Rhinolophus ferrumequinum: one gene and its partner. Each later gene encodes a partner of the first gene's protein in a complex. Links are inferred from orthologs where the notes say so. Each region holds a gene or a part of one and is shown on either strand. Other genes may lie near its edges.

Region 1 (6,921 bases):
TCCGCTGTGTGTCAATCTGTGACGTGACGAGCTGAATGTTCATGGGGCGGCCTGTGGCAAAGAATACAAGAGGGCACGTTCCTGTTAGAGACCTCTGACGCCCACCCAGGGCACCACGCCCCGGTCTCCATGCAGGCACTGGGAAGGGGCCGTGCGTGTCTCGATCGCTCGCGACAAGAGACGGCGCCGACGACAACCCACCACCACCTCCTCGCTCCTCAGTCCAGCTTAGGAGGGTGTCTGGTCAGGTGTCCAGGCTGCTCATGGGCGGAACGGTGTGGGCGCCCTGCCAGGAGGAGAGCTGGTACCTTTGTTTACGACTACAGCCCCGCACTCAGAGGTGTACTCTGGCGGCTGAGAAGGCTTCACAGGAGTGAGTCTTCCGAAGGAGCTGAACGAGGGGAGGGATGTAGCTTGCTGGTGGGGGTTCACAAGAGGTTGGTCCACATGTATGGGGCAGCGTGAGAAGTGGCAGAGTGGGAGAGAGACAAAGGGGCGAGTGCAAAGTGTCCTCAGCCAGAGGGGAGAGCCATATTCCTGCATGGACGGGTGCCAGCCCCAACTCCACAAACCAGGCGTGGCCCCTCAGTCTTCTTGGGTCCAATCCCAAACGCACCATCCAGAGGGACGCCGTTGTACTGTTTCATAGCTTTCAGGGCGTCTGCCTTCCGTTCAAAGTGCACGTCGGCTGTTCCCAGACTGCGTCCGGAGCGGTCGTAGTGCACGGCCGCTTTCTTCAGAGTGCCAAACTCAGCAAAGAGTTCCTGGGAGTTAGAAACAGCAACTGTCAGCGGGCTCTTTTCCTTCTGCTGGCCCAGGGACAGTCCCTGGAAGTGTGAGCTACTTTGAGGGGATTTCCCTGGGGGCAGGGCAGTGGTAGTGGGAAATGGGGGCAAGGATGGGGCAGGTGGGACAGCCCCCTCCAGGAGCAGCTGGGCCTGAGGGCTCCTGCCAACTTGGGGACCTGACATCTGTACCACGATGCAGGTGAAGGGCCGCAAAGCCCATCAGTGCAGGGCACGACATGAGGTCACTATCTCCTTCAGCAAAGGAAAGTGTACAACACACCCACGGACTGTGCCAACAAACAGCAAAGGCCAAGACCACAGCTCAAGGGGCGCCGTCTGACATGTGGACCAGCTCCAAGGGCCCTGACTCGGGAGCCCTGACCCAGCCCCTCCCCCGGGGCAGATTCTGGCTCACCTTTCCCTCTCCTCCTACTCAAGCCTGCCGCAAAGTCTGAAGTCAAGCGCTGCCATGGAAACTGCCCTGACCTCAGGCAGGCTGGGAGTTGGAGAGGGAACCCAGAGTGTGGGGCTACTCCGGCCGCAGGCACACAGCGGGAAGTGGAGTTCACCAAAAGCGGTTTCCAGTGGATGCCAGAAACCACCTTAAAAAAAGTGTTGAGACACTGTGAGTGCTCATCAGCCTTGCTCTGTCCTCCCACAGCTGGGCTCTGGGAAATTGAACCCAGGAAGGCCCAGAACCCTGACCCGGCCATCTCCAGGACTGACCCCCAAGATGTTGTCATTTAACCAGAAAATAGGTTTAAATGCCTTTGAGGTTCAATCAAAAAAAGAAAAAGAAAAAGGGGGGGGCGGGAAGAGGCTTCAACCAAAGATGGGTCGGCAAGTCATGCTACTAACAAGACCTGAGGGATGGTGGTGAGTGGACCGGCACGTGTAAGACACAGGGCTCACGGCCGACAGCCAGAAAGACGCCCTGGCCTGCTTCTGTGCTGTCACCTCTACAGAGGTAGGTCTTTCTCCTCTCAACGAATCATGAAAACAAGCACAAAGTAAAGCAAGCAAGCAGCCCAGCTCCATCAGTAACACAGGAACCACGCGAGTCTGACCAGTCTTTTCCTGTTAGAAACGGGAAGCTCTGGCAGAGAACCTCACTCACGGAACAGGTTTTAGTAAGGGAGGGCAGCGGCTCCTTACACTAGGCTGGGGGCCTGTTTTCCAGCACAAATGGACCTACTCCTTGCAGGTTCAGCTCTAGCATGACCTCGGCTCTCCACCCTAGCAGCCCCTGACAGGGGACAGTGGCTAGCCCTCGGGTGTCTGGGAGGGCTCAATGTCCTAAGGTGGGAAGGGATTCAGGGCCACATCCCAAACGCCATCAATTCCGCGTGGGTCAACTACCGACCGACAGGATCCTGTCTCTTACCTGTATGTCAGCGTCCGACACTCCAAAATCCAGATTGGACACCAGCAGTTTCCCACCGGTCTCCACGCCGGCACCACCCCCAAAGCCGCTGTCGAAAAGGTCATGTTGCCACTTGTCAGGAAGTTGTTTCGGCTGAAGGGGGAAAACACACAACAGAAAGAAACCCGTGAGTTGCATTCCAGGGCTGCCCCTCGCCCTCACTGCCCCTGGAAGACCCTCTCCCAGCGGGGCCCGGAGGAAAGTGCGGAAAGGGGCCTGAAGCCCTCCGCTTCCCGCCCGCGCCGAGCCGCAGTCGACCCTGCCGGGGCCCCACGTCCCGCGACTTTTCCAACTAACTTCTCGCCGCCGGTGTGGCCGCGGAAACGTCCCCTCAGTGCCTGCCGCCACGAGGCTCGGCGGCCAGACAAAGGCCGGGAGGGTGTCCGCCTCCCGGGCCCGGCCGGCGCGCGACCTCCCGCCCGGCCCAGCGCCCGCGCCCGCGCCCACCCGCCCGGCCCGGCCCGTCGCCCTCTCGGCCGCGCGCCGCCCCGCCGCGCCGCTCCCCTGCCGCGGCCCGCCGGCGGCCTCCGCACTCACCCTGCTGTAGGGCGCCGGTCGGTTCCTGCCACCGCCGCCCGCCGCGCCGCGGGCGAGGGCCGGCCGGTTCCGCATGGGACCGCCGCCCCGACTCACTCGCGCGGCGGCCTGTGCTCCGCCGCCGCGGCCTCCCTGCGAGCCAGCCCGGCCGCGGCCCCGACCCCCGCCGCGGCCGCCTCGCTGGCTCCGGTTCAGCTTAATGATGTCGTCCAGAGACATGTCCATTTTGTCGGCCATGGCGGGCGCGGAATCGGCCTCGGCTCGAGCCCGCGCGTCAGCACGCCGGCGCGTCACTTCCGGCGACGCGCGGGGCCTTCCGGTGCCGCGTTCTCGGAGCGGCCGCCGATTGGTTGCAGGCCGGCGGAGGCGGTGGGGGCCGGGGCGGCGCGTGCGCACTGGGACGCGGGGGGGGTCAGCGGGCTCCACTGCCAGGTCCCGGGCCGCGGCCGCGGTAGTTTTTGTAGCTTCGCGCGCGGGCTCCGGCGCTGCCAACTGAAGGCGGGCGGTGCTGCGCGCGATTAAGTCCGCTTGGGCGCGGGGCGGGGCGGAACGGGGCTCGTCGCCCCTCCCCTCGGGCGACTCCGGCTGGGTGGTGGTTTCCCGCGTGAACTCACAGCAAGCGAGGTTCGAGTCTCTGCCCGTCACCCCCAAGTTAGTCATGTCCTTCAAGAAGTGCTGTATGGCACGTTGTGGCAGTTTAGTAGCGAAAGCCAGCGCGCCCTTTGGCCGGTCTTTGCAGATGCCCTGAGTGCGTGGCGAGTATCCGGGGCTCCGGTCCTCCCACGGGCGACCCCTTTAGCCGCCTTTCCCCCTCTCGGTGGCTACAAGGGTTTCTCAGAGCCGACCCTCTGCCTCGGGCAGCATCCCTTGTTTGGTGTCTAAATGCTGTCGCTCTGCAGACTAAGGGCAGCAGGTGATGTCTTCCCCTCGCCCGCAGGCTCCTCCGTCATGAAGGTGAAGATTAAGTGCTGGAACGGCGTGGCCACTTGGCTCTGGGTGGCCAACGACGAGAATTGCGGCATCTGCCGGATGGCCTTTAATGGCTGCTGCCCGGACTGTGAGTGTCCCCTGTGCTCGCTGTGTCTTGAGCTCTGTTTACTCGCCTGGCGGTGCTGTCTCCCCCAGAAATACCCGCACAAAGTCCCTGGGTTGTGGTCTCCCTTTTCTCAAGAAAAGTTGGCAGAGAAAAGGTAGGCGGTTTGGGCCCATATTTGTATAAAGACACCATCAAAAGTTTTGTAAGGAGAAACAGTACAGCCTTTTATCACGATCAAACTGGGCCGGGAAACTCAGGGGACAAAGAGATGCATTAAAACCTTTCATTTGAAAATTCTCAAACAAGAAAAGGAATATTAGAAGGATACGCCCTCCATTGAGCACAGGGAGTAACAGTGAATAACGTTTCCATGTTCGCTTCATGTGTTGCCTCCCCCCACTCACTCAGTCGCATTTAAATGTAACGCTACTGTTGTCACATCAGACAACCTAAGAATTCCTCTGTGTCACCTGTGCCCATCCCTAGCCCACATTCAGATTTCTCCGGTTGTCCCCAAATGTCTTCTTCCCCAAGTGGTCTGAACCAGGACTCCCCGTTTCACTACTCTGCTCCTTAGCTACTCAGAACAGCCCTTCCCCCGCCCCTCTTTCCCCTTTAAAGACACCTGACTCCTTGAGGAAACCCACGTGTTACCTTGCAGAGTGCCTACCATCAAGTTTTGTTGGATTTCTTCTTTGTGATGTCTTTTGCCCTGTTCCTTTGTCGTCAGGATGTTCTGTGAAGTAGGAATGTTTGATTATATATTTAGGTCAAAAGCAGATTTTTGCACCAATGAATTGAGTTTTTTAGTCAGACCCAAGTGAACCCAAAGCAGAAGCAAGGGTCAAGGCTTTGTCTAGGGTACAAGGGCGGTCCCAAGAGGGAAGGGGGGCTTGGGGACTCCTGAGGAGCTCCTCACTGCCCTGTGAATGACCAGGTCTTCGTGGGGCTACATGAGTGCCCAGAACAGTAACCGTGCTTTGCTTCTTACAGTGAAATGTAAACCATGGACTTTTAGTGCAAATACTTTTTTCTTCTAGGCTTAATCTTTATATCTGCTTTGGGTGAAAAGAGATCTCATTACCCAGGAATCAGTCCATCCTGATTTAATCAAATGGGTGGGACTTAATCTTAGGAACTCATTGATTGGCTCTACTTGATCAGGTTTCACTTAATGAGAACAGCGATGCGCAAGGCTTGGTTTGATTTAATCTATTTTTAAATCGCCCTTCCTGAGGGTACCACAGAGACAGTGGGAGCCGGAAGGAGCAAATCCTTGCAACTTTCTATGCAGCAGATTGTTCCTTTCTGAAAAGGCCTCAAAAGCATTTTTGTGGCCGTGCCCTTGGTCAGTGTGAGCTAGTGAGCCTGTATAAAGATGGCACCACTGGGCCTGCACTGCCTGAGGAGCCCGCCAGTATTATTCCAGCTGGGCCTGTGGCTGGGCATCTCCACATGTGGGCCTGCCAGCTGCGAGAGTAGGGGTTCAGAGTCTGATCCTTGGACCCTGTGGAGTGAGCCAGTTGTCAAGTTCAAGGCGCCTGATGAGCATGAGGTGCTTTCTGTACAGCTGAGGTGGCACTGGGTTTCTGTGGCTGAAGTGGAGCTCCTGTGCGGAACGACAGCCTCTGAGCCTATGATGAACCTGCCCCGTGGCCCTGAGGGCTCTGGGAGTAAGTCTTGTTGAGGGGTGTTTTAACTAAAAAGGACTTCCATCAAGACACTAGCAGGCCTTTGGGGGAGCCACCGACCTGGTGTTCGTGTGCTCAACACGTGCCCCCGGCAGGTTCCTCTGTCCACGTGCTCTGCAGCAGTGGCTGGGTGGCCGGGTGCCCCACCAGGCGGCTAGCAGGCTCCTGCTCATGGTTTTCCATCCTCTATTTGTAAGGGACTCTACTTTTTATATGGTGATTCCAAGGGGCGTTCTTTCTTCTGAGGTTGGAAAGGCCCGGGGGGCCCGGGGTGGGGGGGGGTGGGAACTAATCTAAATCAGGTGTCACACAGTGTGGCCTCCTGCACAGGCCTGGGAAGGAGAGTGAGTGACATGTTTTGTATTTGCTGAGCACATAATTTTCTGGTGGTTTTGTCATAAAAGCTCAGGAAGCAAGGGACATTTTTGTTTTAGAAAGGATTTTTAAAAGGTTGAGAAACATTGTCCCGAACAAGTGAATGAGAAGGTGGAGCGGTGGCCACTTTCCCTCATGACTTGGTGGATGGCTGTGCCCTTTGGGTGGGGAACTGTGCGTGCTCAGCAGACGCCAAGCGTACTTAGGAGCCCATGTTTGTCCCTGACCCAGTACCCACCCCGGCCGCCTGTCTGAGATGGGGTGCCAAGGAGGCTGCAGAGTGCTGAGAGGCTGGAGGAGAGTGCAGGCCGTGTTCCTAGCCCCTTGTTCTGTGCAAGCGGTTGTTAAGTGGGGTTTTGAGAGCATTGTTTTATGGCTCGGCCGTAGTGTTCTTTCTTTAATGTGCTGCAGGGTCACGCCACCCCGTGTTTGGTGTCAAGAGTGGCGGCCAGGCCTGGCCCTGTGGTCACGGGTCCAAAGACAGTTTCTGTCCTCTGCACCTAAGACACGTATTGCAAATGGAGCTGCTGCCTGGAAAAGACGTCCCTGGTCACTGGGCCTGGCTTGTCTCTGAGGTCCCTTGTGTTTGTGCAGCAGTGACCTCTGGATGTAGCTAGCGCTCGCTAAGTGTAGAGGGCCCCCAAGGCAGTGGCATGGGGGAAAGGCACCCCAGGACAGGGTGGAAGCAGCGAGTGTCAGCTCCTGGATGTCTGTGGGGACCCTGCTCGGGGGGCCTGGGGAGGTCACTGTGCGCCGCTGGCACCGCTGACTGACAGCGTTTTCTAGAATTTGGGAAATCAGAGGGACGCTTGTGTCTGGAGCACGAGCTGTGTGGCGTGTCCTGTCCATAGATGCAGCGCTCCCAGGTGCCGGCAGCGTGTGCCTGGGCCTTGGAGGTGGGACCTTTTCAGGCTAGAAACGGCTGAGAGGTGGAAGGTAGCACTGTGCTCACAGCCGGCCTAGAACAGGCCAGGCCGTAGACAGCAGTGCAGCCCACTCCGGTGTCTTGCCGCTTGGGGACGGAAGCTTCTCGGGCCTGAGGCCCCAGCCCTCTTGGCCCTCTTGCTCTTG
Region 2 (8,044 bases), on another chromosome or scaffold:
GCCTTTTGCCCCTGTGCTGTCATATAACTACAGTCATTAACGGGTCACACAGTCATTGGACTATAGAGCTGGAAGGAAGCTTAAAAACGATGCCAGGAGGGCAGGAAATTTATCAGACATATTTTTTCTCTATTTAAAAGAAACTGGTCCCTGTCCTTTTCCTCCCTTTCCTTCTCCAGGAGACTACTTTGGGCTGCCTGATCACTGTACCAAACCTGCTATCTATCTTTCCAATGGAATTATGAAGGCCCTGGCAGAAATGGCCTTTCAGAAACAGAGAAAACTAAAATTTTATTTATTTACTTTAGATAGCATGGTTATTTATAAAACAGATGGAGGTAACCTGTAACCTTGGAATGAGATCAGATTTAAATTTATGGCAAAAAGTACTATTGATCCCTCCAATTCTCTCTTTGTGATTGCAGTATATTAATTCACTGAAACCATTTTCTAGGTACCAACTAAGTGTCAGGCACTACAGATGTACAGGTCAACCAAACATTTTCTGTCTTTATGGAGCACATAATAGCAATAGAGGAAGACATGTGGAAACATAAAAAAGAATAGATTCTTTTCAGAGTATTAAGATACAAAGAGATCATTTCTACCCAAGAAGATGAGGAATGGGGTCAAGAAAGGCATCATAGGAGAAGTGACCTTAAGCTAAGTCTTAAAAATTAAGTAGGGGTGTCCAAGTTGCTTCAGGCAGAGGAGACACAGAGGCATGGAACAGCATGGGGACTTTAAGGAAGTGCATGTAATTCATTAGAAGGAACAAAAAGCTCAAGGGAGACTTAGCAAGAAATGAGGCTCAATGAAAAGACAGGTTCAATTAAGCACTTTATAGAATACTTCTATTTAATTTCTGATTCAATTAAGCAAACATTTCTTGGTCATTTATTGTGTACGAGGCACTGAGTGCATCATGAAAACTTCATCAGGATGTGTTGCCAGCCCTTTGCAGGCTTGGCATTCTTCAGCCTCAAGCTTTCCAGTGGCCAAAGGGAAATCGTGACTGCTTTTCATATATTTGAGTTGAAGTTTTTTGATATGGTCAATGACAACTAATATAAGGGCCGTGGAATTTTCACAGAAGCACTCCACGTTGTCAGGAGCCTCAGATTTTCTCAACAGTGAGAAAGAAAACTGGAAATGTTGAAGACATGAGTCTACAGAGGTAACCCCAGCACTGTCCAGTCAGGCGTTGGTGGGAATGGGGAGAGGGCACAGGAAGGTGAGCCTCCCCACCTCACTCCCTAACTTTAGCCACACACTCGTCATTTCACAGAATATAAATGGTTAGCAGTTAAAACATTTCAGAGTAAATTATTTACTTTCCCATCAATGCATGAAGATAGAGGATTGCAGTTTTCTCACACTGTATTTTTAGGGTATTGGGGATATTCAGGATATGGAGAACTTAGAGGTAGAAGAATTACAGCTTCAAATTTTCAGTTAATAATTCAGGAAGCTCTTTTCATTCAAGCTATGCACCATGTGCATATTCAAAAATCAGCAGAAACCCTCTGTATTTGCAACACTTTGTGCTATAAAAAGTAATTTTAAAAAGAACCACCTGTATATGTATATATAGATATATTTAAAGACATGAAGGTTTTGATACTTTTTTACAAAAATTACAAGAGAAAACAAATACCTGTACAAACCATGTGTTTTAAAATAGCATTTTGTTCTATACAAGCTGTTGTTAATTTGGGGGTGAAGTACTGGTCTGCAAACTCCATCACACTGTACCCCAATGAATTTTCCTTGTTTGTTCCCCACCCCCTCGCACACACACACCCAAATTACCATATTTGATGTAACAGGCAAACAGGCATGTTAGAATGTTGGATCACACTAACCATTTCTGATCTTTTTGTCTCATCATTCCGAGTTCCGTTAGTTTCTGTACTCAGTCCCCTTTGCAGTCTGGTTTCTCTTCCAGAGGCAAAGGGTGGAGTGTTGCATCTTACTAGCTGTATTGACGTCATCTTGGTGAACTAAAAACCAAGTGTGGACATTTGTAAAATCAGTGCACTGTTTCTAGAGAGACATTAAATTCATTTTTTAAAATCTGAAAGTGTTTCATTGTGATGCTTTAATGAGGGGGGAGTGAACAATCATTGGTTGAGTCCCTAGTGTGGACCTAGTATTATTCTACATAAATTACCTTAATGTTCATCAACGAATCTGTGAAATAAATACTGTCAACATTATCATTCCCATTTTATAGATAAGGAAATGGGTGAAGGAACTGCCCAAAGTCATAGTTATGTTTAGTGCCCCCAAAGTACATGTAGCACATAGCGCTCATGTACATGTGGCATTCTCTGCCTCGATTTTCCTTCTCTGCCTCTTTATCTGGCTAACTCCTGTTTGTCCTTGAGTACTCTGCTTAGGCCTACTCCTCCAGGAAGCATTCTCTCAGACCCAGACCTAACTCATAGGGTAGGGTAATTATGCTTCCACAACAAATTTGGCCTACTTGTATCCCAATACTTCTGCCCTGCTTCTCACCCCCATGCCACTGAGGTTGCTTTTTACCAAGGTCAGCCAGGAGCTCATTGATCATAAATAGTGTAAATACTTTCACTCCTTACCTTCCTAGACCTTGCAAGGAGTATTTAACACTGTTGGCACTCCTTTCTTAGGATACTCTTACTTTGGCTTACATGACACCATACTTCTGTTTTTCCCCCTACCTCTCTGGCCACATCTTAATCTCCTTTGCTCACACCTTAAATTATGGTATTCCAGCTCAAATCCATCCATTTTTGTATCTCCATTGCTACTATTGGAGTACATAAAGATCACCATCATGGATTATCACCATCGTAGATTAACAACTAATCTGAATTTCATACTTCTAATTTTTCCATTTTCCAATCCAATCTATAACATTGTAGCCACAGTAATCTTTCTAGAATACATTAGGTCATGCCACCACCACCCCGTTTTACTTTCCTGCTTTAAAGCCCTTCATCTGTTTCCTTTGTATTAAAATCCAGTACCCTTGGGTTTTAGCCTAAACTACTTAATAGGGCTTGTAAGATCCTCATGATTTGGCTTCTGCCCCTTTCCTACCTCTTCTGTATTCTAATCACAGTTCTGGGCCCTCTGGAACATTTCCTTCAGACTTCCCTTAAGCCCCTAGACTGGATTAGGAGCCACTCCCTGTGCTTCCATAGTATTTTGTGCTTCCCCTATTTATAACCTTGATCCCTACATTATAATTGCTTGTATGCTCAATTGCCTCCTCTGCAAGCTCTATAAAGGTCTGTTTTATTCACCATTGTATTCCTAGCGCATGACACACAGATTAAAACCCAATACCCCGGGGTTTTAGCCCAAACTCCTTAATATGTCTTGTAAGGTCCTTCATGATTACCTGATGTCTCTATATACTTAACTCCAGTTACTACCTCAAGATTTTTATAAGGATTGAAGGAACAAGCACTTGTAAATGGGCTCAGCTTTGGGGCTGACATTTATTAGGTGCTTAATACCTGGTGATTCCTTTCACTTTTTTATACAATTTCCTTGTTACCACCTATATCCAGGATTTTTAAAAAATAAAATGCCTTACGGTTTTATGGTAATTTAGTTTGTATTTTCCAATTTCCAAAACATTGTTTCTTATCCTTGAAAGAGTTCTGCCAGGTATATAACAAGCTCATTTTAAAGATAAGAAATCTGAAGTCCAAAAAATTCAGTAAGTTCACCTTTGATCACAGTGAATCACTATCACACAAAGGATTATTTTAACACTTCTCAAGTGATTTTTTTTTTTACATCACATCACACCCACTTTACACTCTGCTACCAATGCTTTTTCTGGGAGAAAATGAACAATGGCAAGACTAGGAATGAGAATCAGACTATAGGCCTGAATACAAAAATAGTATCCAGTTATAGTTGCCAGGTCCCAAGAATGATGCCATCTCGGCACTGTCTCTAGAACCAGTTCCATTCCCCCTCTGGCTGGAACTTAGGTGAGCTAAAGCAGGGTTCTAGTAATTAGGATTTTGATTGCCCTTTGCCTAATCAAGAAGCAAAAATTTCCCACAGCCAGAAATCCTTCACAGAGGTCAACCAGTTTGGCCTGAAGAGACAAGAACCTCTTGGGCAGTTCTCAACCCTGACTCATCCCGGGAGCTTTGCAAAAAACAAACAAACAAAAACCCCAAAACCCCCCAAACAAACAAAAACCCAAAACCACCCATGTCCAGGTCCACTGCGAGAGATCTTGATTTAATTGGTTTGGGGTGGGGCCCAGGCATCGGTATTTTTCAGATGCTCCGAGGTGATTCTATTGTGCAGCCAGGGCTGAGAAATCCCTGCTGGGTAAGCAGTGCATAGATGTCTGGGGAGTGGGAGATCAAATACTCAAATTACCTTCTACGCACGCACTTCAGAGACCAGTGAGGTAGAACGGGAACGGCAGAAACAAAGGGTAGAGGGAAAATGAGAAATACGTGCGGGCAAGTTCATTCCAGAGAAATGGCAGTCTCCACTATGGGTTCAGGAAAAGCATCTCTGACAAAGGTTTTCTCGAACTGGTCCCTAACCAGCCCAGTTCGGTCGGAGCCAACTTTAGACATATGCATATAGTGCGCTGCGTTCTCCTGTGGGAACGGGTCATTTAACCCCATTTTACTGTTGAGATGACCTAGGTCCAGAGACCGCGAGGCGCCTTGTGCGACGCACACAAGTCCTTTGAATGGAAGTTGAGCCTGAAGGGACGCAGGACTCGGGGTGTTCAACCCAAGGTCTTGAAGCGAGGTCTACACACCCCTCACCGAAGCCCTGAATCCCTTCGTGGCTTGGCTGTCGGCCTCACTCCTAGGAGAACGCCGGCGGGTAAATCTCCGCCTCGTTTCCGCCTCGGGCTGAGGGAACGTGGCTGCACTGACCCCTCCACCGAGTGAAAAGAACATTGTTTCCGCCAGGAGAGACCCGGCAGCCTCAGCCCACAGCCCGGCTCGGGTGCGGAGCGGCGCCTTCGCTTCCGGCGATAGCGTTGACTTGACGTCACTTCCGGGCGCCGCCGTAAACGTCAGTGTTGGGCGCGTATGGTGGCGGTGTGGTTTGGTATTCAAGTTTGGTCTCCGTTACCTGTTGCGAGCCATGGAGAGTGACTTTTATCTACGTTACTACGTGGGTCACAAGGGCAAGTTCGGCCACGAATTCCTGGAATTTGAGTTCCGACCCGACGGTGAGAGCGGCCTCCAGCGCCCCGGGAGCTAGGAGTAGGCCTGGGGGGAGGCCAGTGGGGAGCCCGGGGGTCCGGAATGTGCGGGGAATTAGAGGAACGGACTGATACCTGTGCCGCGCGGATCTAGAAGGAACACTCCTGTGCTCTTCCTGTCCATGTGGAGGGACTTCTGTTTAGTGACATTTTTGACCAGCGTGCCTCATTCAGCAAACACTGATTGAACGCCCTCTTTGTGCTAGGCTGTGTTTCACAATCTGGGATACAGATTGATGTGAATGATAGATAAGCTTCCTCTCTCGTGGAACTTGTACTTCTATTGCGGGGAGAGAAATCGTAAACAAAAAAGGAGTCCAGATAGTGATCTGAAAATAAAGCAAAACGATGGAATTGCTGGTGGGCTGCTTTTAGATAGAGTGGCCATTGGAGAGCTCTCTGAAGAGGGGATGTTTGAACTGAGCCCTGTTTGACAAGAAGGAGCCCCCCTTATGAGGCTCAGAAGGAAGAGCATTCTAGGCAGAGGGAGGAACAAGTGTCAAGGCGGTAGGGCAGGGATGAACTAGGCATATTTCAGGTGACCAATATGGTTGAGAGTAGTGACCTCTGGGGAGAATAGTAGGAGATGATGTGGGATAAGTGGCAGGGGTCACACCATGTAGGTCTTTATAGGCCATGGTGAAGAGTTTGGATTTTATTCTAAGTGCAACAGGAAGCAACTGGAAAGTTAAGCAGAGAAGAGATGTGATCTGTGCTTGAGAAAGTATGCTAATTAGTGGGTGCAGAATAGGCAAGAGTGGAAACAGGGCTACTTATTAAGAGACAGTTAACAATTGTCCAGACAAAAGCGATGTTGGTTGGGTGGTAAAAATGGAGAGAAAAATTTAGGGTACTTTTGGAGGACGAACCAATAGGACTTTGTAAATTACATGATTTAGGGAGGGGCCACAGTGGTGAAGGAAAAGGAATAAAAAATGACGGAAAACTCCCACTAAATGGGGGCACAAAGATGAATCTGACAAGCTGAATTTTATGAAGGAGATAGATTTTTAAACAATGATAAGACAGTATTTTAGGTGCTGTGGTAGAAAGAAACAGAAGGGACTCTGGGAGTAGAAAGAAGGCATCTAATCTAGCCTAAGGGTTCAGAGCAGGCTTCTGGCATAAAATAACTTGGGGGCGGGGGAATGTGTCTTTAGTGGCTGTAGGAGTTGTTTAGGCAGATGAGACTCAAGAAGGTATTTTTGGACTGCATTTAAGGCAAAGAGAATGAAAACCAAAAAGTGCATGGGATGTTTCAGGCAGAAACCAAATAGTCCGATTAACTCCAGCTATGGGAGAGAGGACTGTTGCAGGAGTGAGCCTGGAAAGGCAGGGCAGGGGGCTCAGCTTAACAGTATGCCATGTTAATTTGGATTTTATCAAGAAGGCAGTGGGAAGCTACTGTCCATATCACAGTATTAGGAGTAACCTAATCAGATCTGTCTGTTACTACATCAGTTTGTCCACTATAGGGAGAATGAACTGAAAGGACAGACTTGAGGCAGAGAAACAGTGCAGTGAGGCATCAATTAATTTGGCTCTTTTTACATGTGTGCCTTCTATTCTATGGGGAAAAAAATCACCTCTTCTGTTTCTTTGTATCTTCTCCTTCATACCCACCATATACCCAAATTAGCCCGTTGAATGCACATATGCACAAAGGGCCTTATAAACCAAATGTGCTAAATAATAAAACAACTTTTCCATCATAGGAATAGATCAGAATATTGCACAGTCACATGGTAATATATGTAAACAGTATTTTACAGTTTTCAAAAGGCTTTCACAACTCATTTGAGCCTCTGGAGGCTCTCCGTGTAGGTAAGTTCCCAGTTACTCTCCCTGTTTTCAGCTGAGATATGACGTGCCTGTCACAAAAGAGTCTGCCTATGTTCTTTTATCACATCTGAGCTACCTTTTGCAAGAACTGTAATTCATTGTCAGCTATATTTTTGGCTATGAGGCTATTTAATAGCCTGAAGTGAAGAATTGAAAAAATTGTTACTGTTGAAACACCAGAGGTGTAAATAGTTAATCTGGGTGTCGTGCTCCTAATGCTGAGGTTGCCCATTCGATTCCCACATGGGCCAGTGAGCTGTACCCACCACAGCCAAGATTGTGAACAACGGCTCTCCCTGGAGCTGGGCTGCCGTGGGCTGCCGGAGGTTGGCTTGGGCTGCTGTGTGCTGTCAAGAGCAGCCGGTGGCCAGTGTGAGTGGCCGGCAGCCAGCAAGAGGTGCACTGAGCTGCTGTGAGAGACCGACCAACGACCGGCAACCGACTGCCTCAGCCAGGCGGGAGCACAAGGCTCGTAATACCAGCATGGGCCAGGGAGCTGTGTCCTATACAACTACACTGAACAACGGCTTGAACCGGAGTTGAGGGGGGAGGCAGAAAAAGGGGGGGGGGAGTAAATCTGTTAGACACTTGAGGGGAAAGTTAGGATACATTTTAAGCAACAGCTGATTGTCTTAGTAGGCTAATGATGTTTTATTCATGTTTTTATTATACATTGAATTTGTTTTTTGCCCCTCATAGGGAAACTGAGATATGCCAACAACAGCAATTACAAAAATGATGTCATGATCAGAAAAGAGGTAATGAGTCTTCTGAGAGCCTTTCATTCACTACGACTTAGCCTTTTGTCTTGTTTTTGTTCTTTCTGGGAGTAGTATTGAAAGATAAAGAATAGGGAAGTATAGAGTTTGTAGACAGCTTCTAAAGTTTTTCTCAAATCTACTTTTCATTTATATTTTGTTTCACAATGCTGAATCAATTACTGGTAATCAT

Evidence for each region. The genes of interacting proteins can lie anywhere in the genome.
Region 2: ALYREF (region 1) and MAGOH share a complex: the UniProt entries of both Homo sapiens proteins name them as parts of the ALYREF/THOC4-EJC-RNA complex. The link is inferred for Rhinolophus ferrumequinum from reciprocal best matches to the Homo sapiens genes ALYREF and MAGOH.

Annotation. Positions count from the first base shown.
Region 1 is NC_046304.1:54,671,035-54,677,955, forward strand, and holds the start of ALYREF (THO complex subunit 4), read right to left. Parts: upstream 3,007-6,921; 5' UTR 2,986-3,006; coding exon 2,749-2,985; intron 2,305-2,748; coding exon 2,173-2,304; intron 765-2,172; coding exon 617-764; intron 52-616; coding exon 1-51. Other genes in the region: ANAPC11 (anaphase-promoting complex subunit 11), read left to right, coding at 3,697-3,805. UniProt on the Homo sapiens protein: Functions as an mRNA export adapter; component of the transcription/export (TREX) complex which is thought to couple mRNA transcription, processing and nuclear export, and specifically associates with spliced mRNA and not with unspliced pre-mRNA.
Region 2 is NC_046292.1:38,088,318-38,096,361, reverse strand, and holds the start of MAGOH (protein mago nashi homolog), read left to right. Parts: upstream 1-5,039; 5' UTR 5,040-5,130; coding exon 5,131-5,218; intron 5,219-7,792; coding exon 7,793-7,851; intron 7,852-8,044. UniProt on the Homo sapiens protein: Required for pre-mRNA splicing as component of the spliceosome. Plays a redundant role with MAGOHB as core component of the exon junction complex (EJC) and in the nonsense-mediated decay (NMD) pathway.